Linked DNA regions of Rattus norvegicus. The main gene of each other region encodes a partner of the protein of the gene in region 4 in a complex. Links are inferred from orthologs where the notes say so. Each region holds a gene or a part of one and is shown on either strand. Other genes may lie near its edges. The genes, in order: Slc7a10, Slc7a8, Slc7a11 and Slc3a2.

Region 1 (4,959 bases), about 120 Mb from region 4:
GACTTGCTGAGTCTTGTGGATTACATCACGTAAGTCATGGATCACCATTATTTTTAGAAGGTCCCATGTTTACCACCTAATGATCATATATATATGGAGAGGTATGCAGACTCCATCCTGCGCAGAGCCCCAGACTCACCCCTTCCTCGCAAAACAAACTCCACATTCCAAGTCCAGGAGAGGCTCATCTCTGAAACACTACTGGCTCTGGCCTGTGGCTCTGATGCCACTCTCTGCCCCTTGACAACCAGCCTCAGGGGAAATCCTTCTGGCCGGACCTTCACCCAGCAGACCTTGGCACTGCAAAGACAATGGAGTAGCCAGTCAAACCAGAAAGTCAAGCCTCCCAGGTCCTTACTACCTGCAACAATCATGAGTGTCAGGACTGCTCTTCTCCAGCCTACCCCCACCCTACCCGACCCTACCCCGACCCTGCACTGCACGAGAGGTTCCTTTAAGAGAGCCCTGCCACGTTCAACTTATCGTCTCTGGGGCGGGAGGCAGAGGTCGCCAAGAATGTTGGGCTCCGTCGGTAGTGCGAAGGATGAAGCTCTGCCGGGTGGCTTCCCCCTCCTGGTCCCCCCAGAGTTCTCCCTTTTCTATTATCAAGTCCCCGCCCCAACTTCGAAGTAGAGCTGGGCCCTGGCCAAGATCCCACCTCCGTGCTCCGCCCCCAACCCAGGCTTTTGGACTCCTGAGCTAGTCCCATCTCGGGTCCGCCCTACCCTTCCCCAGCAAACTCTGAGGCCGCGATCGGGGGAAGGACTGGTGGCCCCGAGTGGCCTCATCCTCATGCAGGGGACGGCGCGACGCAGCGATCGCCAGCAGCACACAAAAGCTGTTCCGCCGTCTGCCACACCGTGCCAGCCTCGCTCCGCCCGCCGCCCCGGTGGCCTCGACGCGGCCCTTCCCCCTCCCGGAGCCCCGCTTGAATCTGCCCCGCGATCTGGGCTGCACCTCCCGATGGCTTCCGGGAGGAGGCAGGCTCCCCTGGATCCTGGGCCCGATACCTCTTTGCTACCACTATTGTCCTCTTCACGTCTCCTTGGCACTTCCAGTGGTCTGGTCACCTTGAGCCATGCAGTATGGCCTGGGCCAAAGTCCCAGTCCACTGTTCCCTGACTCCGACCTGTGTAGAGGAGTCTGCGGTGGGGACCTAAAGCTGGACCCGAATGCTGGGGGATGCTAAGGATTTGATGGTGATGGGGACTGTCCCCAAACTCCCGGGATGCCCCGGGACCTTCTGAGTGACCACTGGGTTCTCTGTATCTTCAACTCTTCGCAAACCTTTGACCTCCAGAATTGTTCCAGGGACAGTCTCCATTCATCCTAAATGCCTACGCAGTCAGGACCACCTAGAGGCCAGGGAGCTATCAAAAAAGTTTGCACGGAGAACCTGCCACTGTCAGGTTAATTGCCTCTGGGCCGTGATTTTCAACCTGTGCAATGCCCACCCTTCACCAATGGGGTTTGAGGGATTTAAAAAGTACATGCTGGGGCATGCAGCACCGCCTACCCCAGCACGCCTTGGTCACACTCCTTGAGGGTAGGGTCAGCCTGGTCTTTGAGCTCTTCTCCCCCACCTCACCCAAGTCTGGGTGTAGCCCCTTCGTTCACTCAACTAGGAAGTCCTTCCTAAGTCTGATCCCAGTCCCCTCCTCCATCCCCAGGCTAGGGTTGAGGAGGGGAGGGGGAGTTCCCTTTAAGGGAGGTGGGGGAGGGGGCTGCCGGCCGGCCCTCCTTCCGTCCCTCCCTGGATCCAGCCGCCCGGGGGCCCCCGGGGGCCCGGGCCCCGTGCCAGCGCATGCGCCCGCCTGTGGGCGCTGTCCCGGGCTGCGAGGGCCGCGAGCGCACCGACAGACGAACCGACCGACGGAGGACTGGCGGCGGGCCGGATAGACGGGGTAGCGCAGAGAGCTGGGATGAGGCGGGACAGCGACATGACAGGCCATATACAGCAGCCAGGCGGGCGCGGGAACCCCAGCCCTGCGCCCTCGCCCTCCCCGGGCCCTGGTCCTGGCCCGGGCGCCTCGGAGCGGGTGGCACTCAAGAAAGAGATCGGGCTGGTGAGCGCCTGCACCATCATCATCGGTGAGTGGGGCATACCTAGGGTGGAAGGACTGGGGGAGCCCCTTTATGTTCCTCCCTCACTAAGACCATAAGACCACAGGGGCAAAGGAACCTTCCGAGCACCTGCTGCCACAACTGGAGAATACACTTGACCCTACTCAGAACAGGACCTGGCAGACCAGGCACAAAACCTCTTGCCCTCACCTCCCCAGCCTCTCGGAAAAATTGTTCCTGGAAAAGGGGGGCGAGTGTTCTCCTTGCTGCGACCCTCCCCTGGCCTTCACTGGCTGTGGGACTTTGTCAAGGCGATTCCCTGATTCCCGGGTTCCCACCTAGGAAAACGGAAGTAATTGCTAGGCCTGCCTTGAGTGGCGAGTTCTGGGCTGCAGGGCAGCCTGTCTGCATCCCTACTGTGTGCCAGGTTCAAGTGCCGGGGAAGTGAGGCCATCTGTTCTTGGAAAGCAGGAAGGTAAATGGTAAATGGTCAGGTAGAGCCATTGGTTTACCAATGGGAAAAGGCCTAGGAGTTGTCCTTCCTGGCCGAGGTGGCCACAGAAGCCAAGAAGAGATAGGGAAGTAGCCAATGATGGTGTAGCTATGAGTAGACCAAACCTCCAGGAGAGTACCCACTCAGCCCTGGGATCCGAGTGGGCACTGTCGTGGTCTGGTGGCATCTGAGTGGGTGCTCTTGTGGACTGGCCCTCTCACTCTCCCTACAGTGGTGCTTTCTGGATATGCAGAACCCCCGGGGACAAGGTTGGTGGTGGCAGAACCCCTCCTCTTTTTGTCCCTTGACTCCTGAAGGAGAACTGGACTAAGCTCTCGGAGGGACCTTTACTGTGTCCAGGAATTGGGGTGTCTAAAAGGTCACTAGTTGGGGTTTTGACTTTCCCTCTTCCCCAGCCAGTGGGAAGTGGCACACAGTAGGGATGCAGACAAGGCTGCAGCCAAATCACTGTCTTTCTGTTCTTTGACCCCTGGAGACAGAGAAAAGCTGGAGGACTCAGTGCAGGGTGTGTGTGTATATGTGTATGTGTGTGTGTGTGTGTGTGTGTGTGTGTGTGTGTGTGTGTGTGTCTTCACTTTTCTCCCGCTTTAGGCCTTTCCATGAGAAACTCCACCCAGAGAGATGTAGTGTCTTTTGGGTATCCCCTGCACTCCTACCCAGAGTCACCCCTGAACCCAGCTCCAGAGAGTTCCACTACCTGCCCTCTTCCTTCTAGAATGGCTATCTTTTAGGGGCTGGTCCTGGTGTCCCCCCCAGCATCCCCGAGTGTCTGATAACAGGAAGGACTGAGCCTGGGAGCTAGGACAGAGTAGTGGTTAGAACTTTGCCTCCAATCAACACAATTTTCATGGTACTGTACCCCTCCTCCCAAAAAAAGTAAAAACTATTTATCATTGGTGGTGGGCTGGCTACAGTGCCAGAGGGGTGGGGTGGGGTGGGGCGGGAGGGAGGGAGAGAGAGAGAGAGAGAGAGAGAGAGAGAGAAACAGAGAGACAGAGAGACAGAGAGACAGAGGGGGAGAGAGACAGAGACAGAGATACAGAGACAGAGAGACAGACTAGCATCCATGCACTGCACCCTACCCTGTTACTGTCTTTTCTCCTCAAGTAAGACAGAGGCTGCCAGGGTTCCAGTCATCTACAAGAGGATGGGAGTGCTGGTGTAGGGGAGAAATGGGCACCCGGTCCAATATTTTGCTTCTTCTCTAGCTCAGGCTTTGGAGGAACTGGTGCCATGGATCCTGGCTCTGGGCCGCCAGCTCCCCTCACATCTCAGCCTATTCTTGCTTCACTGCTCCCCTTTGGCCTCCTGAAGATGAAGGCTAAGGAGGGTGAAAATCAACTGGGCCAATCAAGGATGGTGGATTCAGGAACAGAATTCAAGCATTATCCCAGACCAGGGTACCGGGTGCTCTCCCGGGGACCACACTTAGGGAGCTCAAGAGTTCCGTCGGCCAAGACACCAGGCCAGGCAGGGGACAAAGCCAGACAGGGGAGGATTGTCCTCAACTAGGTGACTGGGGAGGAGGCCAGATCTGTTCTGCTTCCCCTCCTGATGCCTCAAGGGCTCAGCTTCCACCCATGCAAAGCTCTGGGGCCACTTCTCCATGGTACAACTCTCAGTCCTGGGTTCTTCACCATCTTCTTCTTCTCCATCCCTAACCCGGGAGCTTGGTCAAAATCAGAAGTCTCCAGTGTCATATTTTAGCATTACAAACCTGGAGAACTTCACATCCTTGTCTGTGAGTGATCTATTATTACTCAATGGGTATTTCCAGAACCTTCCCAAATGGCGCACCTCACCAGCACATCAGATATCTTTTTGGACTTACCTTACCTCCTTTGATCCTCATGCTCACCCTGTGGGGTTGGCAGGTTTTCTACCCATTGCACAGATGGAGAAACTGAGGTTGAGGGTTAAATGACACTGTTTGCAACTGGTGAGCTCAGTGTTTGGATTCAGGTTTCCAGTGGCCTTTGTGCTATGAAGGCTTGGCAAAGGGAAGGCGACAGTTGAGGACTGAGCTAGGATAGACTGAGGTCTCCCTCCACTATGCAGGAACAGAGCCAGGAAAGTCAGCTTTTCTCATGGCGGCACACAAGGGGTCTCTGATCCTGTCTTGGAGACCTCAGCTATCCCCTCACACAATCCACAAGCAAGGAGGGACATGCCCAAGTCTGACAGGCTGAATCATGGTGGCTCTGCTGCTCCCACTCTCTATTTGGGATTCGAGTGTCCAGCAGGTGTTCGAAAGTCAGGCCCAAACGTATGCGGAGACGTGAGGGGGCGACTGCATGAACCCCATCTTTTTAGAGGCCCTTGTCATCCAGCCCTGCCACATTGTCTACCATCTCCATGGCCAGCAGTAAATGGGCCTCTGC
Region 2 (5,011 bases), on a different chromosome or scaffold from region 4:
AAATTGCTTTTCTTACCTTTATTCTACAGTGTTAATACAGAGCCCCAGATCACTGGACTCCACAGAGAATAGAAAGGACAATCTCTGATCCTTGCCCTTCCTTGGTCTTGAAAAAAATGGAGCTGTCATCATCCACTTAGAAACCCCCCAGAAGAGGGCGGGGCACCGTCTCTTCACATTGGCTTCTCAATGGTCATGCAGGAGGGAGGGTAGATTTTCTCCATGTCATTCTTTTTTTTTTTTTTTGGTTCTTTTTTTCGGAGCTGGGGACCGAACCCAGGGCCTTGCACTTCCTAGGTAAGCGCTCTACCACTGAGCTAAATCCCCAGCCCTCTCCATGTCATTCTTAAGAAGGAAGGTCTTTCTCAGCTCAGCTGAAGTGAATGTAACATGATTCTAACACTCTGGAAAAATATCCTGATTTCCCTAAAATCACCCAGAGTATCCAGCCAGAACTGTGATGTCACCACGAGGAGTTCTTTCTCTCTCTCGTCACCCATGAGGCTGTGGACAGATCAGTAGTGGCATCGACCCTGGACCTGTACTTATTATACCTGATCATCCCCATGTCTTCATAGACTTGAAATAAATATATTTTGAAAGAACCAAAGCCTTAGTATATAGGAGAATATCGGGGTTGGGGATTTAGCTCAGTGGTAGAGTGCTTGCCTAGCAAGCGCAAGACCCTGCGTTCAGTCCCCAGCTCCGAAAAAAAAAAAACACAAACAAACAAACAAAAAAAAAAACAAACAGGAGAATATCTTCTATCCATGAAAATCTACATATATTGTGGGCTGCGTGGGCATCCATGGGAAAAAAAGGTTTGAGTGTGTGTATGTTAGTGTGTATGTGCATGCATGTATGAGTATAAATGTGTGAGTGTGTATGTAGGTATATATGTATGTATGAGTATGTGTGTGTGAGTGTGTGTGTATGTTTGAGTGTGTATGTGTGAGTATGTGTGTATGTGTATATATAAGTATGTGTGTTATGTGTGAGGGTGTATGTATGTATGTGTGTATGAGTGTGTATCAGTATGTGTGTATGTTAGTGTGTATGTGTATGAATGTATGAGTATATACGTGTGAGTGTGTATGTATGTATGTAGAGCATGTGTGTGAGTATGTGTGTGTATGTATGAGTATGTGCGTCTGTGTATATATAGGTATTTGTGTTATGTGTGTGTATATGTGTATTTTTTTTGGTGTGAGTGTGTATGTATGTATGTAGAGCATGTGTGTGAGTATGTGTGTGTATGTATGCATATATGTGTATGAGTCAGATACTTCCCCAAGGTGGGGTGGGGGATACAAAGCCTATCCATCAAATTAATGAAAGACATAACAGACTCTGGCCTATTTATAGATCTTAAATTGGCATGTGTTCTACAGGTTGCGTTGAATTAAAAAATATAGTAAGACCAGATAATGTGAGCTTCAGATCGTGACTCCTGTTTTGAGGATTTGTTCCCTCACAACATTGTCTCTTTATAACTGTAAATATTTGGAGTATATAGATAACCTTCCATTCTGGAAGGGGATTGGAAAGAACATGGCCACTGAAGTCAGGGTGCAGAGGTGGAGAGGATTATCTGAGCACTGTGCTGATTTTATTTGACTTCAAGGATGTTCTCCAGTGTCACTCTGGCTCTGGTGCCAAACGTCCCTGAGCTGTTCACAGAACACTGTTACATCGACAGAAACTAGTTTATGGGCAGCAAGAAACAGTACACCTTCGCTAAGGAACTCCAGAGGAGAGAGAGCACATAGGGACTCATCTGAGAGTCTTGTGGTGCTTTCCCTGGGAAGAAGCCCTCAGCGGAAGGCAGCAGACCAAAGCCCCCTTTTTGAGGGAAGGTAGTGAGGAGCCACTGCCCAGCGCCCACCTGCAGGGCTTCTTTACAAAGACAAGAGTGTCCTCTGTAGACGAGAGAGTTGTCTCTGGAAGCCTGAGCCCTACACAAGTGCTCTTGGGAAGCAAGACCTATACTGGCACTCTCTGGATCACCCAGCTCCTCTCCTAGAGAGCTTCCAGGACAGAGCACACATTTCACCCATGAATTCCTCCTGTACTCCACAATCCACTCACTCCGGGTTCCCTCTACAAACCTCACAGGGTCTTCTGTGTGTGTTAAAACACACCCCCACACACAGGCAACCAGAGAAACTGAAAACTCCGTGTAGAGAACATAGTCGAGTCAGCTGGTTCTCCCTTCCATATTTTCCTCATCCCAGACAGTAAGAACAGCCTGGCTGTCACATCTATTTCACAAATGCTACATAGGATGGACCAGCCTATAAAGAACCATCATTACGAAGTGTTTTTACTACTGCTGTTTTGCTCTTTGTGGTATTACCACAATGCTTCATAACATAAGGCAACAAAATATGCTTCAAAAGCAGGTTCGCAGCCTGCAGAGGGTGGCTGCATAGAAGCTAGTTAAAAATCCATGTGTCAGCCTGAATTAGGATCTCCCGGATCAGAACTGCATAGTGACAACCCGGAAAGAATTTGTTACACTTCTAATAAATTCCCAGGGAATACTTGGTACGCAGAGCCAGCATGGTTCCTGACTCCTGTTTGTTCTATTCTAAGGAGAGAGCGGCTCAGCCTGGCTTGGTTGAAGCGATGTCTGACAGACATCACTTCCAGAGCTCTGACTTGGCCGGTGCAGGTGGACAACACAAGTCAGAGACAAAGCAAAGCTGCTTTAGGGGCTTTGGTGGGGTTAAAGTCCCGCGGAGGACCCCTGGGGAGGGGGTGGTGTGGTGCCGGGGGCCCCGCAAAGGACCTGGACTCACCTACAATGATACCACAGGCGCTGACCAATCCGATCTCTTTCTTCAGGGCTACTCCGCCCCCTCCCGAGCTAGCCTCGGCCTCAGGGCTGGTGTCAGATCCGCGGTCCGGGTGGTTCTTCGCGGTGTTGTTTCGCTGTCGGGTTCCCTTTTCCATCTTTCTCCGTAGGGTTCCGACCACCAAAAGCTAAAAAGAGCAGTCTCTTTCTAAACGCTCGTGCGTATAAATGCAGAGATACGCGGAAAAACAAGTTTCCAATTAGAACGCCCTTTTCAGAAACGGAGAGCGAGCGCTCCTAGGCTCTAAAAGTGACAGCAAACGAGAGTCACACGTGTCACTGCTAACAAACAAGGGCCGTGCTTTTTAAATGGAAGGCAAAGAACATATATATCTAAATACAAAAATAGAACTGTACCAGCGACTCCAGCTGGAATTCTCCGGAAAGCGTTTATCTTCAGAAGCCCAGGATGGCTCTGCTCGGTGTACCGGGCGGCGGCTTGCTCTGGTCAGAATTTCCCTGCAGCCCTCCTAACGAAACAGATCGCCTCCACCTTCCCTTAAGTCTCTTTTACCACGAGGGTAAAAGTAGTTCTCGTTAGCCGAGAGGGCGGAGGAGGAGCGGTGCTCAGGTACTTTCTTCTCGCTCGCCGGCTCGCGATCAGGTTTCCACCTGCTGCGGTCGCCCCTTCTCGCCCTTGTCCGCTCCGAGCTCCGTGCTCACGCCGCAGATCGTTCCATCTGTGAGGGCAGGGTGGCTGCTGCGCTCGCGAATGTGCTTCCCTTTCGGCTGCGGCGTTTATTTGCGGACCGAGGCTCCGCCCCCACCTCCTCCGTTCCTCGCCATCCTCAGCCGCATCTCCTCCCTCCCCTTCTATTTAATTATTAGTACCCTCTACCCCCAAAGATCACGGAGAAAAGGCCTTAAAACATTTCTTTCTTTCTTTCTTGTTTTCTTAGTGGAAACAAGGGAAGGGTCGGCCGCAGGGGGAAGACACAAGCCAAGGCTGCATCTCAGGTCGCACAGCATTTGTGTGCTCTGTAAGGGCACACAGTTCTGCAGGCTTTTGATGCCTTCAGAAATACACTGACCAGTGTACTAAAATGTTTAGGTGTGGATCATTTGAGGACAAGGTCGAGAAAGCTGCCGGGATATCGTCATCAAGCTGTTTCCTGAAGTAGGAGAAGGTTTTGGTAGGGGACAATGTGGAAGGACTTTTTAGTTAGGCTGAAGAGTTTCTCTTAGGGACTGACAAGAAAGTTAAATAAAATTATTAAGAATATGGGGTAGTTGCAACATTCGTCTGAAGCAGAGTAAGGAGGATTCTGACCTGACCCATGACCCCTAATATTTTATCACAAAATCTTTGAACTTCGGGACTGTGAGCCCTTCACTGATCAGGAAGCAGATTTGTTGATGCTAAGAATGGTAACTGTTAAGTTTATTGGCATTGCACGCCCACTTCCCTGAAGAACTTGATTCAAGACTGTTGCTTCACCTCATGAACCGTGTCTACTTCTAACTGTAAAGTACTTTGGGGAAAAAAAAAAAAACAAACCATGAAACAATATTATATACCATGCTGAAAAACTAGGTTTTTTTTTCACATACTGTACAAAGTGATTTGATTTAAAAATAAGTCTAAAAAATAAAATTCCAAAGGGCCTAGTGGCACACATCTTTCATCTGAGCACTTGGGATGCAGAGGCAGGCAGAGCTCTCTGAGTTTAAGGCTAGCCTGGGCTACAAAGTGAGATTCTGTCTAAATGAGACAAACGCAATTCCTGACCACTAACTACACAAAATCGGTTTCGCTTTTTTTGGAAAATGCTCTAAACCCGTTAGATCTTTCAAGAAAATAATACGTTGGACCCCTTTGGAAGTGGGGTTGGCTAAGCTATCTGGAACAGCTCTCCCAGAGAGGGTAAAGTCCAGCCAACAGTCTCCCTTCCCCGTCTGCCCCTTGATCACCCTACTCAGCAAGTATGGAGAGGTTTCAAAGGTTGAGATCTCACCCCTTCTCCTTCTGTTGGTTTAAGATATAGCAGATTGAAGGCCTCAGCAAAAAGAAGAAAGTGGGGGGAGCGTGTAAATCATTTTCAACAATGACCAGACAAGGTTGGAGTATATAGCACAAAACTCCATGGGAGAAAGTGAGGGATGAGTCGGGGAAGCATGGAGAAGTGTGAGCTTCTCCTCCCAAGCTTAGGGAAC
Region 3 (4,481 bases), on a different chromosome or scaffold from region 4:
CAGTTCCCACTGACTAGTGTTTGGAATGCACCATGTTTTCAAGGGGGCAACTTACCCCTCTGGAAGAGGAGCAGCATCTGCGCTTGGTTTATAACTTTTTGAACACCGAGGTCAACACATGGACTTTTATAGCCCTCTTTGAACTTCTTTTCATCTGGACACATAGTTATGGAGCCTGAGACCTATAAAAGAAATTTCCATTCCCCCAGAACCCAATTTAAACCTAGGGCAAAATATACAGAGGTCTGGGCATTGATTCCCTGACAGTAAATTCCAAGGTCTTTAAGAGTTTTTCCAATAACAAGGTTATATTGGTTGCTTTTCTGGACAACCGACCAACATGGTGACCATTATTTCCAGTGGAAGTTTGCTAGTTGTCTTTAGGTCTAAATTAATGAAGCATTTAAGTAGCTATCTGTAACTTTATCACTTTAGTACCTGGAGCATTGGAAAGCAGTACAACTGCTTGGATTGTTCTTTTGGATGGAGTCCGGTCTCAGAAGATGAGTCTAAGGTGTGGTCTTAGTGTCTTCTCTCATTTGTTCACTCTTAAAACAAATTCTCCAGATGACCCTGATAAAATCATACTCCATTTTCTCTAGTTTTCCAAGTTATATTTGTTTTGAGCATTCTGTAGGAGACACCACTGACCCGCAATACTTTCCAGATGTGGAGTCTCCTCAGGTGCCTGGGCAGAAACTCCGTTTTCTTTGAACACTAAGGGATGTAGACACTGGTGTTTGACTGATTGGTTGATTAATTGATTGACTTTTGGATGAAATTAAGATTTATTTTTCATGTCCTTTTTAATTAACGACGAAGCAGTTGGTAAGTAACATAATATCATGTGGTGTGTTTGTTGTATCAGAGTCAGTCCTATCTATGGTTCACTTTCCCACCTTTACATCCAGAATAAGCATGAAAATTCATGTTTTCACTTCAAAGGGTGTGAAATTTAGGGTTTGGGGGAATTTAGATATAACCTTCCCAATCTTATACAAGTGTTATTTTTAAGCACATCTTAGTTTATAGTTGATTTTCATCACATACATGACTGTAGATTGTGGAATTTCTTTTTTAAAACACTCCTTTTAACTGCCGGGGTGTACATTTCGAAAACATCCGGAATAACTGTTTCTAGGAACAGAATAACCGGGTCAAGATTCGATTCGTTGATAAAGCGTATTGCATCAATTAACTGAAGTCTCACACAACAAGTAGCCTCTTCTTTCCCAAAGAACAGATAAACTATATTTTGATTTTCCACAGAAACATTATTTATTAAATACCGTAGTGAGATCAGTCAGAGTGATCTTGTCTTAGTATGAGATGGTGTTGTTATTCAAATAATAGGTCAGTATCATTGACACCTGTCTTCTCTTTTCCCTCTGCCCTCTGGTTTCTGACCATAGATTCTGAGTCATATTTGTAGGTACCATTTCAAACAAAATTTTCTTTCCTTACATTTTTTTCCAGTTCATTTCATTTGGCTTTTATGTGTATGGGTGTTTTGCTTCTGCGCATGCCTAGTGCCCAAGGAAGCCAGAGTAGGGCCTTGGATCCCCGCGAACTGGAGATACAGATAGTTGTAAGTCCCCACGTAGATGCTGGGAATTGAGTTTGGGACTTCTGGAAGAGAAGTCAGTGCTCTTAACTGAGTAGCCATCCTTCCAAACTTTGGCATTTCTTTCTATTAGTATGAGGCAGGTCTCAAGCGTGAGGAAGTTAAAAGAGGACCTTGGTGGGTCTAAGTTAGGAGATTACGACTATTCCTGTGAAGGCCATTCTGACCAAAGGAAGTAGCCACAGAGTGCATACAACCTAAATGACGTTGTCAGTTCTATCACAAGACTACTAGATGCTGTGTCAACTTTGTACTTTTTTATTATCACCTTTCACAGGAGCCCTGTCTTATGCTGAATTGGGTACGAGCATAAAGAAATCTGGTGGTCATTACACATACATTCTGGAGGTCTTTGGTCCCTTGCTAGCTTTTGTTCGAGTCTGGGTGGAACTGCTGGTAATACGGTAAGGAGACGGAAACAATTAAGGGAAAACAAACCTATTCGTTTCATCACTTTTCCGGATCATCTTGACTGCTTTAACTAATTACAAATGTGTGTCACGTGACTTTGTTTGAAAAATACAGACCCTAAGGCATAAAAAAGCTTTCTTTAAGCTCCAAATTGTATAGAAATATGTTTTTTTCCAGAAAAGGCATTCATCTGAGATGGGGGGAATCTTCAAAATTCACTTTGATAAACTACACGTTGGATTGACCAGACACGATTTAATATGCTAGGGGTTAGTGGTTTTTTTCTTTTTACTGTTGATTATGTCATCAGGACATTTAACTTTACTTTTGTGACTAAGAACTATCTGTGCCAAACAACTTAGTGTATTATCAAGTCTTATGCTTTACAAACAGTAAGAAAAATCAAGTTAACACAGCATGAGTGATTCATTTCCTCACATTAAACAAACCAGCGATGTGCAGTGGCAGAAGTTGTTTGATTGTACTGCCGTAAGGCTCTGTCCCCCTTCCTGATTCTCTTGGCACAGAATAGCGCCAAGTCACTCTGAATAGCAAATTTCCCTCAATATTGTGAGGAGCCTGTGTTGTCGCATGTGCAGCTCGTGTCACAGGTGTTTTGTGCTTTAAGGGATATGACTTACACTTTGTGATTAAAGAGTTCATTAGAAACCATTAGGGAACCTTGCTCTCCTGTAAACAAAGGGCGCAGAGTACTAAAATCCCAGCTAAGTTTTCATTCTGCCACTAACAGAAGTGACAAAGGAAGAGCTCTAAGTGTCTGCTAACGGGAACAATTGTAATGGTGTTAATAGCAGACTTCAGAGTAGTGCACACTTCATTGGGAACAACAGTTCTTTGTTGCTTAGTAATTGCTAGTGTTAAATGATGATAAAAAGCACATTTTTTTCTTTTTGCTTTCCTAAGATTTCTCTATCTGAGATGTACTTCTCTCTGTCATCGTAATCATATGTACTCTTCAAAGCTAATTTTTGTATGTATATATGACATATACATACACACACATATATAATATATATATATATATATATATATATATATATATATAAATTTCTGGTTTATCCCTAGTTTGTAGTATTTCTTTCATCTCTTAATGTCTTAAGACCTTAAGCGACCCATTACTATTTTCCTATTATAATTATAAGCATTTCAAGGATGTAAGATGTAAGAATAGGTCTTACACCTTTTATGACTTTCAAACTATTTATGTCAGTGCCATGTGTATCCTAGATAGTAATCCTTTCTTATACAAGTGTCTGGAAACCCAAGATGATGTTGTTTTGAATGTAACAGGCACAGCATTGAAATAAGAACAGTAAGTCAGTGGAGTGCTGCCCTGTCAGCTGTTGAGCTTCCCAGCCTGATGTCCTTCAACTTCACTGCATCTGCATCCATGCAGTTGTGACGTAACTGTATGTAATTATTCAGTGTTGCTATGACAGCATGATCACTCCATTTGCAATGGACAGATAAGAAACCCATTCGTTAATTTATCGTTTCCACAAATTGCCGATGAATGGCAGACAGCAAGATAAAGAGATCTAAATTGGAGTGAGCCACAATTCATGCTTCTTAACTGCTGATAACCAGATGCACCTTAATTTTGAAAGAACTGTTCTAGCTGTGTGTGTGTGTGTGTGTGTGTGTGTGTGTGTGTGTGTAAGCATGAGTGCGTGCATGTGCACAGCCAAGTTACCTAAGTAGATCTTCGAAGCTTTTTAATACATCTATGTTCCCTAGGATAGTCTTTCAAACAAGCAAAGTAGCAAATACCATGAAGGACATGACACCCTAGGACATAAATCCATTTCTTTTCATGATAGTAACCATGATATCTAAATGCTCCCCATTAAAATTATACTTTCAAATTAAGTTGGTATTGTCAGAAATAATCCAAGCAAAGTCACCCAATAGAACAAGATGGGGACTTTGAAGTTGAGGTCATGTAGTCACATGATATTTGACCACTATTGAGTTTCTACTGTAACAGATGCTGGGCTTATCCTTGCACTGGGGTAAAATTCCAATTGGGAGGAACACAGTTTTTTTTCCACAGATTTCAAAGTCAAGCGGGATGGGGTTTCAATCTGGGGATCACCTTAACTAGAATAAAAACCCTACTGTGGTAAACAGTGTGTAGGGGACAGGTTTGGTGCTGTGTAAAAGGAAGCTTGGACAAGGGGAAGGTTGGAGTCACTTCCCTGGACCAAGACTAAAACCAGATACTAAGTACAAAATGTAGCTATATGGAATGGCTCTGGGCAGAAGTGATTCAGTTCTTGTTCCTGGGAAGCTTGTGTGTGCAAGGCCTCACCATGGTCAGAATGTGTTTGAAGGATATTGAAGTGATGCTAGCAGATTTAGGTTTAGAAATCAAAGACTTTTATAAAAATGATAGAGAACAGCAAAACATCCCCTTCGGAGGCAG
Region 4 (5,176 bases):
CCTAAAAATAACACAAGTAACTTTTCTTTCTGACTTCAGACCAGTCTCCAACTCACTACGTAACAGGCTGTCCTTTAACTTCTCATCCTCCTGCCTCCTCCAACTCTCAAGTGCTAGGACTATGGGCTTTCTCTACTACTTTGAACAAACTTCCTATCAAGCATAGGATCCCAGCACCTGGGAGTTTAAGGTTATCCTCAGCAACTTACTACTTCTAGAACACAAATCTCCCAGCAACTAGCAAGAGCGTCTCACCCACATACTTAAGAATCCAAAAGGGTCAGCATCTGCCTCTACTTTGTTATGTCCATCCTGGACCTGCCAGTGTCCTAAAACGTAGGTACCAGAGGCTAGGATGACATCAGGTTTACCCTATTATGGTGGCTATGAAGTTTAAGCCACTACCTCAAGAGAAAGGAAGAGCAGAGAAGACTCCTTGAGACTTCATGAAGTGACTGCATCTCAGTTTCTTCACAAACAGACTGGCAATGACAGGTATTTTGTGGGTTTACAAAACAAATTTGGAAATAGCTATAAAATACTTGGAACAGGGGCGAGAGAGAGAGCTTAGTGGTTAAGAGCTTTTGCAGAGTTAAAAACTTGCAACTTTTACATAGGACCCAGGTTCAGTTCCCAGCACCTACATAGCAGCTCACAACTGTCTGTAACTTCAGCTCCAAGGGACCCAACACCCTCTCTGGCTTCCTGGGGTACCAGGCATGCACATGATGCACAAACACATATGCAGGCAAACACTCACACACATAAAATCAGACCTTACAAAGCATTCATAGTGGAGTTAACTCTTTAAAAAAATAATAAAATATGGGGCAAGATAAAAAGCCCAGATACATAATAAGACTCTAGTACTTATAATTTCAGACTGGGCTCCGTTCCAAACACATCAAACAAAAACTGGGAAACCAGTCAGGTCAGGATTCCCACAGAGAAAGAAAAGACTTCCTATCACAAAAAGAAAAATTAAACTTCCAAACTGACATCTGAGAAATTCCCTTCCTGGCACAGCCTTGCTTCCAGAGTAACGGAAACACAAAGAACAGAACAGTCAGAAAAGAAACAATATCCCTCTGGCTATGGGAAGAGACTATGAGAAGAGAACCACGCTGAGTGCACGCGGCTTGCTATGAATAAATCCACACAATAAATCCCCAGCATCTATATGCCACCAATCATAAAACCTCACCTTCATTTTGGTGGCTACAATGTCAGCCTGAGGAGGGAGGAACCATGCATTCTGGCCCTTATAGTTGGGAGTGAGGTCCAAAATGATGTGAATGCCTAGGAAAATAACCAGGTGAGAGAAATTCTTTAGGGGAAGAAGAGGAAACAAGGAACTTCAACACACAGTTACTAAGTGTACCTATGTATAGTTTGTACAAAATCTGAATGAAACCCACAAAACCCCTCCGGAGGTTTTTATAGTAGAGCAAATAACTTTGTGCTATTGGGCCAGGGGTTATCTCCCCAACAAGGTATGGTCTTTCAACATGTTTCCATAGTGAGGTTTTGGTTTCTTTCTTGTTTTTCCCCCCTTTAAGTCAGGGTTTTGTGTATGTGGGCTGGCTGCCTGAGGATAAACAGCCTCCTACATCTACTTCCCAAGTGTAGGACTATAGGCACATGCTCCCACATCTGTTTATGCTGTACTGAGGACTCAAACTCAGGACTTCACGGGCACTAGGCAAGCACTCTTACAAACTGAGCTACACTTTCAGCCCTCTATATTGGGTTAAAGCAGTATTTGAATCTCTTACACATATAGGAACTACTTTAGAAATTTAAAAGCCACTTATTTGATCAAGCCATGGTGACACACTTAAGCCTAGCACTTGGGACCAGTGGAGCCCTGTAAACTCTCATCCAACCTGGTCATGGTAGTAAGTAAGGTACAGGCCAACCAATCAGTTACAAGGTAAGACCCTGCCTCAAAACCAAAATAAATAAGAATTACTCTCACAAATGAACCACACTGTTTAGTGTGAATCATAGCATATCTCCCCTGTGCCTGCCCTAAAAAAACAAAGCCAGTTAGGAGAAAAGCAGACAAAAGCCCTATCCTGTTTCTTGGCCAGAATGCCAAGCCCTTTCTGCTTCCTTGAGACCTACTCTTTTTCTTGGCACTTTGTAGAAGGTCTTTAAAATCTTCCTGGGAGCCTAAATCGGGATCAATCTGTTTCAAGTCGGTTTCATTGACTTCATCCTTCTGGTTCTTGTGAATTGGGCCCAAAACTAGGCCCTTCACCTTCAGGGTGCTCAAGTACTCCAGATGGTTCTTCAGACCTATGATGAGGAGAGAGTTGGGTTAACAAGTAGGGCATGAAAAGCCTCCACATTCTCTCCACCACTTTCGCCAACTCCCTCTGAAGGGGGCTGGATCACGAGACCAAGTAGCTGACGCAAGGCACCTCACACATTACTCCAGAAACTGGTTTGAACTGGCTCAGGGGCCGCGTGGTTGGGGGAGGAGAAAGGGGATGTGCTGAGTCAGGCACCCTTAGGAAGAAGTAGGGGTCGGGTTAGCAGGGCTTGTTTTTTTTTCTTTTTCATTTTTTTTTTTTTAATTTTAAGAAAGAGTGGAGAGGATTGTTTGCCAGGGAGTCGTCCCAGAAAATAGGGTTCGGTGAAGAACCATCAGAGTCCTAGTGATGGTGAGGAGGAGAGCAGCAGAATGCCCGCTTAAACAAGGGGTACATGGGGGCGAAGGGTGAGGGCGCGCACCCCACACTCACCAGCTATGCCTCTCGCTTCCGGGCCTACGAAGGCCTGAAGGTCGCCGATGCGGTAGAGGGCGCCCTTGTGCCACCATCTCTGTACCGGCAGCTCACGGCAGCGTGGCGCCCGAACGATGATAACCACGGCGCCCGCCAGCATACCCAGCCAACCGAGCCAGAAGAGCAGCAGCAGCGCCCAGCGGGTGCGCACCCAGCCCGGGCTGCCAGCTACCTTCAATAGCTCCTCCTTGGATAAGCCTGTGAACTTGACCCCGGCTTCCGCCTCGTCTTCGGCCACCTTAATCTTCACCAGACCGTTCTTCTCCCCGGCTGCCGCCCCGTCCGCTGCATTCATAGGCTGCTTCTCCGGTTCCAGCTCGTTCAGCTCCACATCTTTCATGTCCACTTCGGTGTCCTGGCTCATGGTACCTGCAGAAACGGTGACAGGACACGGCCTGTAGTCAGTGGGTCGCCTAGTTTGGAGAGGTGTCCCGTGAGGCTAGTTAGCTTAGCTTCCCTAACTGCTTCTGCCGCCAGGCGGGCGTGGCGGCGGGGAAGTGACCCATGACTCCGCCCCGATCCGCCTCTTAAAGAGATGCAGAGAAGTCTTTCACACCTCCAGCCTCGCTACGTGAGCCAGTCTATCCCTAACGCTTAATGCAGCCAGAGTCTGGGAAGCTGACCTTGTAGCCAGTAACCCTTAGAATAACAAACGTGAGTGTGTCCTGACCAGGTCCCAAAGCCCTCCTCCGGGCCCTTTCCCGGAGGAAGCCTCTATTCTCTCTGCAAGATGACACCAGCCTCCATCTGCGTCATCATCCCTTCGCCCCAGGCCGGGCTCAGGCTAACATCTGATCTCCCCAACTTCACACAGATCTTGGCACTACATTCCCACTTCTGCTTTACCCACACCTCCTCAGACTCTGGACTTAGCTGAGCTCCAGGACTCCCCTTGAGGCTTACCCGAACTCACCTTTAAGACTCCTTGAGTTTAATTCCTCAGGCAGCAACTATTTACTGGGCACCCACTTTAATCCTTTCCTTCATAAATTGCATAGAATCAACTCTAATCCTTTCTTCTTGATTTTAAAATTCAACTGCAGAGTTGAAGTGGACACTACCCTTCTCATCCTACCCTAGTTACTAGTGAGAATGTTGGATTACTGGGAGTCAGGCATCCAGAAGAGACTAATGGGGCTGTAATAAACATTCCAAAGGTAATGAGGCATCTACCCTTTTAATATACAAGCTGTTGTGACTCTTAGCCACCTTGCAGTAACTCTCAAACCCTCTGGTGTGCCGGGCTACATCAGTTGACTATGCTAGGCCCTGGAGGCAGCTTAGATCCCTCACACTTTGAAAGATTCTCCAATTCCCACCCACAGAGGCCCTTGGCCAGGAGGGTAAATGGGGCAGACTGGGCTCGCAGCAGGGACCAGTGGACAGCAACTCTTGGTGATGCCAACAATCTCAGGAACTTCGTGTTCCTTACCACAGCCAATTTGGTTATTTTCAGAGAGAAGCAGAAGAAAACAACGGGTCCTTTCTCCCTCTCCCCACCTAGGCCAGCAGCCAAGGTTGCTATGTATTTGGAAGAAAGCAGACGCCAAGGTCTGAACAGTAGAGAGGAAGGGATATGAAAAGTCTCATCACCTGCCACTGTCCTTTGGAATTCCCAAAGATCCTCCCTAGCCTCACTAGAGAAAAGGGTACATGCCAGCTCCTAGGAAGAGCAAAGTCAGTAGAGGTTAAGGGTCATGCCAGTGTTCACAGTTGATAAGAGTCCTACCTTGCCCTGGGCATGCCAGATAAGAAAAGTCCAAGATGGACTTTCTACCCAGCCAGAAAGCTCAAGGTTTGTGGACTGTGAAGCAGAAGCAGTCTTTGAGAGGGTTCAATGAAACGCACCCTAGAAACCAGATGGCTTATTGGATCAAACCAACAAAATGTTCATCTGGTAAAGTTGCTTACCCACCAAGACTGACAGCCTGAGTTCACTCCTCAATGAAGAGAACTGACTCCCAAAAGCTCTCTTCTGACCTCCACACATGCTCACTGCCCTCCACAAAATAAATAAAATTTAAGGTAGCATGGTATCTCCCAGCCCCCACATGTAAGTGGCAGAGATCTATCCCTAAGCATCTTAGAGATCTCCCGGCAGTCTCCACCAAGCCCACCTTCCTGACCACTGCTGTCCGGACACAGCAGCTTCCCAGCACCCGCCAATTGCACAGCATAGTGTGTTTCCAGTCTTAATGCCTCGTGTGCTGCTGTTCTGCTGTTTGGCTCTTCCTGCTAAGTTACTCTTCCTCATTCAAGCTCTAACTCAAGTGACAGCATTCCTCAGTGCTCTAGAGGAGACTGCTTTCCCTTATCTGGGATATAAAACAACAACTAACCCAGCTGACTAATATAAACTTAAAGGGCTGGAGTTCAGAGGATAG

What was found.
Region 1: the proteins of Slc3a2 (region 4) and Slc7a10 are in contact, whole or in part, in a cryo-EM structure (PDB 8WNT), measured with the Homo sapiens proteins. The link is inferred for Rattus norvegicus from reciprocal best matches to the Homo sapiens genes SLC3A2 and SLC7A10. Residues at the interface, in NP_002385.3 of Homo sapiens: Phe161, Thr162, Gly163, Leu164, Lys166, Leu169, Leu170, Val172, Ala173, Trp178, Arg182, Leu186, Phe189, Trp190, Trp193, Met196, Leu197, Ala200, Ile203, Ile204, Ala207, Pro208, Arg209, Cys210, Arg211, Glu212, Leu213, Arg534; in NP_062823.1 of Homo sapiens: Leu147, Val150, Phe151, Asn153, Cys154, Pro157, Ala160, Val163, Leu164, Met166, Ala167, Met170, Leu171, Trp174, Ser352, Val359, Glu481, Thr484, His485, Trp486, Gln488, Glu489, Leu490, Phe492, Val493, Val494, Tyr495, Gln497.
Region 2: the proteins of Slc3a2 (region 4) and Slc7a8 are in contact, whole or in part, in a cryo-EM structure (PDB 7CMI), measured with the Homo sapiens proteins. The link is inferred for Rattus norvegicus from reciprocal best matches to the Homo sapiens genes SLC3A2 and SLC7A8. Residues at the interface, in NP_002385.3 of Homo sapiens: Thr162, Gly163, Leu164, Ser165, Lys166, Glu167, Leu170, Ala173, Gly174, Trp178, Arg182, Leu185, Phe189, Trp190, Trp193, Met196, Leu197, Gly199, Ala200, Ile203, Ile204, Ala207, Arg209, Cys210, Arg211, Leu213, Lys532, Arg534, Asp558, Gln559; in NP_036376.2 of Homo sapiens: Leu147, Leu150, Phe151, Pro152, Thr153, Cys154, Phe155, Pro157, Ser159, Gly160, Leu163, Leu164, Ala166, Ile167, Leu170, Leu171, Trp174, Gln294, Ser352, Met356, Val359, Glu481, Thr484, Leu485, Gln488, Lys489, Met490, Cys491, Val492, Val493.
Region 3: the proteins of Slc3a2 (region 4) and Slc7a11 are in contact, whole or in part, in a cryo-EM structure (PDB 7P9V), measured with the Homo sapiens proteins. The link is inferred for Rattus norvegicus from reciprocal best matches to the Homo sapiens genes SLC3A2 and SLC7A11. Residues at the interface, in NP_002385.3 of Homo sapiens: Glu167, Leu170, Ala173, Trp178, Thr181, Arg182, Phe189, Trp190, Trp193, Met196, Leu197, Gly199, Ala200, Ile203, Ile204, Ala207, Arg209, Cys210, Glu212, Leu213, Lys299, Arg534, Gln559; in NP_055146.1 of Homo sapiens: Leu151, Phe154, Phe155, Ile156, Gln157, Cys158, Glu159, Pro161, Leu163, Ala164, Leu167, Ile168, Ala170, Val171, Thr174, Val175, Val178, Gln217, Gln219, Val360, His373, Thr487, Gln489, Ile490, Ile491, Glu493, Val494, Val495.

What each region holds. Positions count from the first base shown.
Region 1 is NC_086019.1:96,964,253-96,969,211, forward strand, and holds the start of Slc7a10 (asc-type amino acid transporter 1), read left to right. Parts: upstream 1-1,869; 5' UTR 1,870-1,922; coding exon 1,923-2,091; intron 2,092-4,959. UniProt on the Homo sapiens protein: Associates with SLC3A2/4F2hc to form a functional heterodimeric complex that translocates small neutral L- and D-amino acids across the plasma membrane. Preferentially mediates exchange transport, but can also operate via facilitated diffusion.
Region 2 is NC_086033.1:32,209,161-32,214,171, forward strand, and holds the start of Slc7a8 (large neutral amino acids transporter small subunit 2), read right to left. Parts: upstream 3,556-5,011; 5' UTR 2,956-3,555; coding exon 2,802-2,955; intron 1-2,801. UniProt on the Homo sapiens protein: Associates with SLC3A2 to form a functional heterodimeric complex that translocates small and large neutral amino acids with broad specificity and a stoichiometry of 1:1.
Region 3 is NC_086020.1:136,661,272-136,665,752, reverse strand, and holds part of Slc7a11 (cystine/glutamate transporter), read left to right. Parts: intron 1-1,901; coding exon 1,902-2,028; intron 2,029-4,481. UniProt on the Homo sapiens protein: Heterodimer with SLC3A2, that functions as an antiporter by mediating the exchange of extracellular anionic L-cystine and intracellular L-glutamate across the cellular plasma membrane.
Region 4 is NC_086019.1:215,036,410-215,041,585, forward strand, and holds the start of Slc3a2 (amino acid transporter heavy chain SLC3A2), read right to left. Parts: upstream 3,262-5,176; 5' UTR 3,162-3,261; coding exon of another isoform or gene 3,157-3,161; coding exon 2,751-3,156; intron 2,302-2,750; coding exon 2,128-2,301; intron 1,300-2,127; coding exon 1,205-1,299; intron 1-1,204. UniProt on the Homo sapiens protein: Acts as a chaperone that facilitates biogenesis and trafficking of functional transporters heterodimers to the plasma membrane.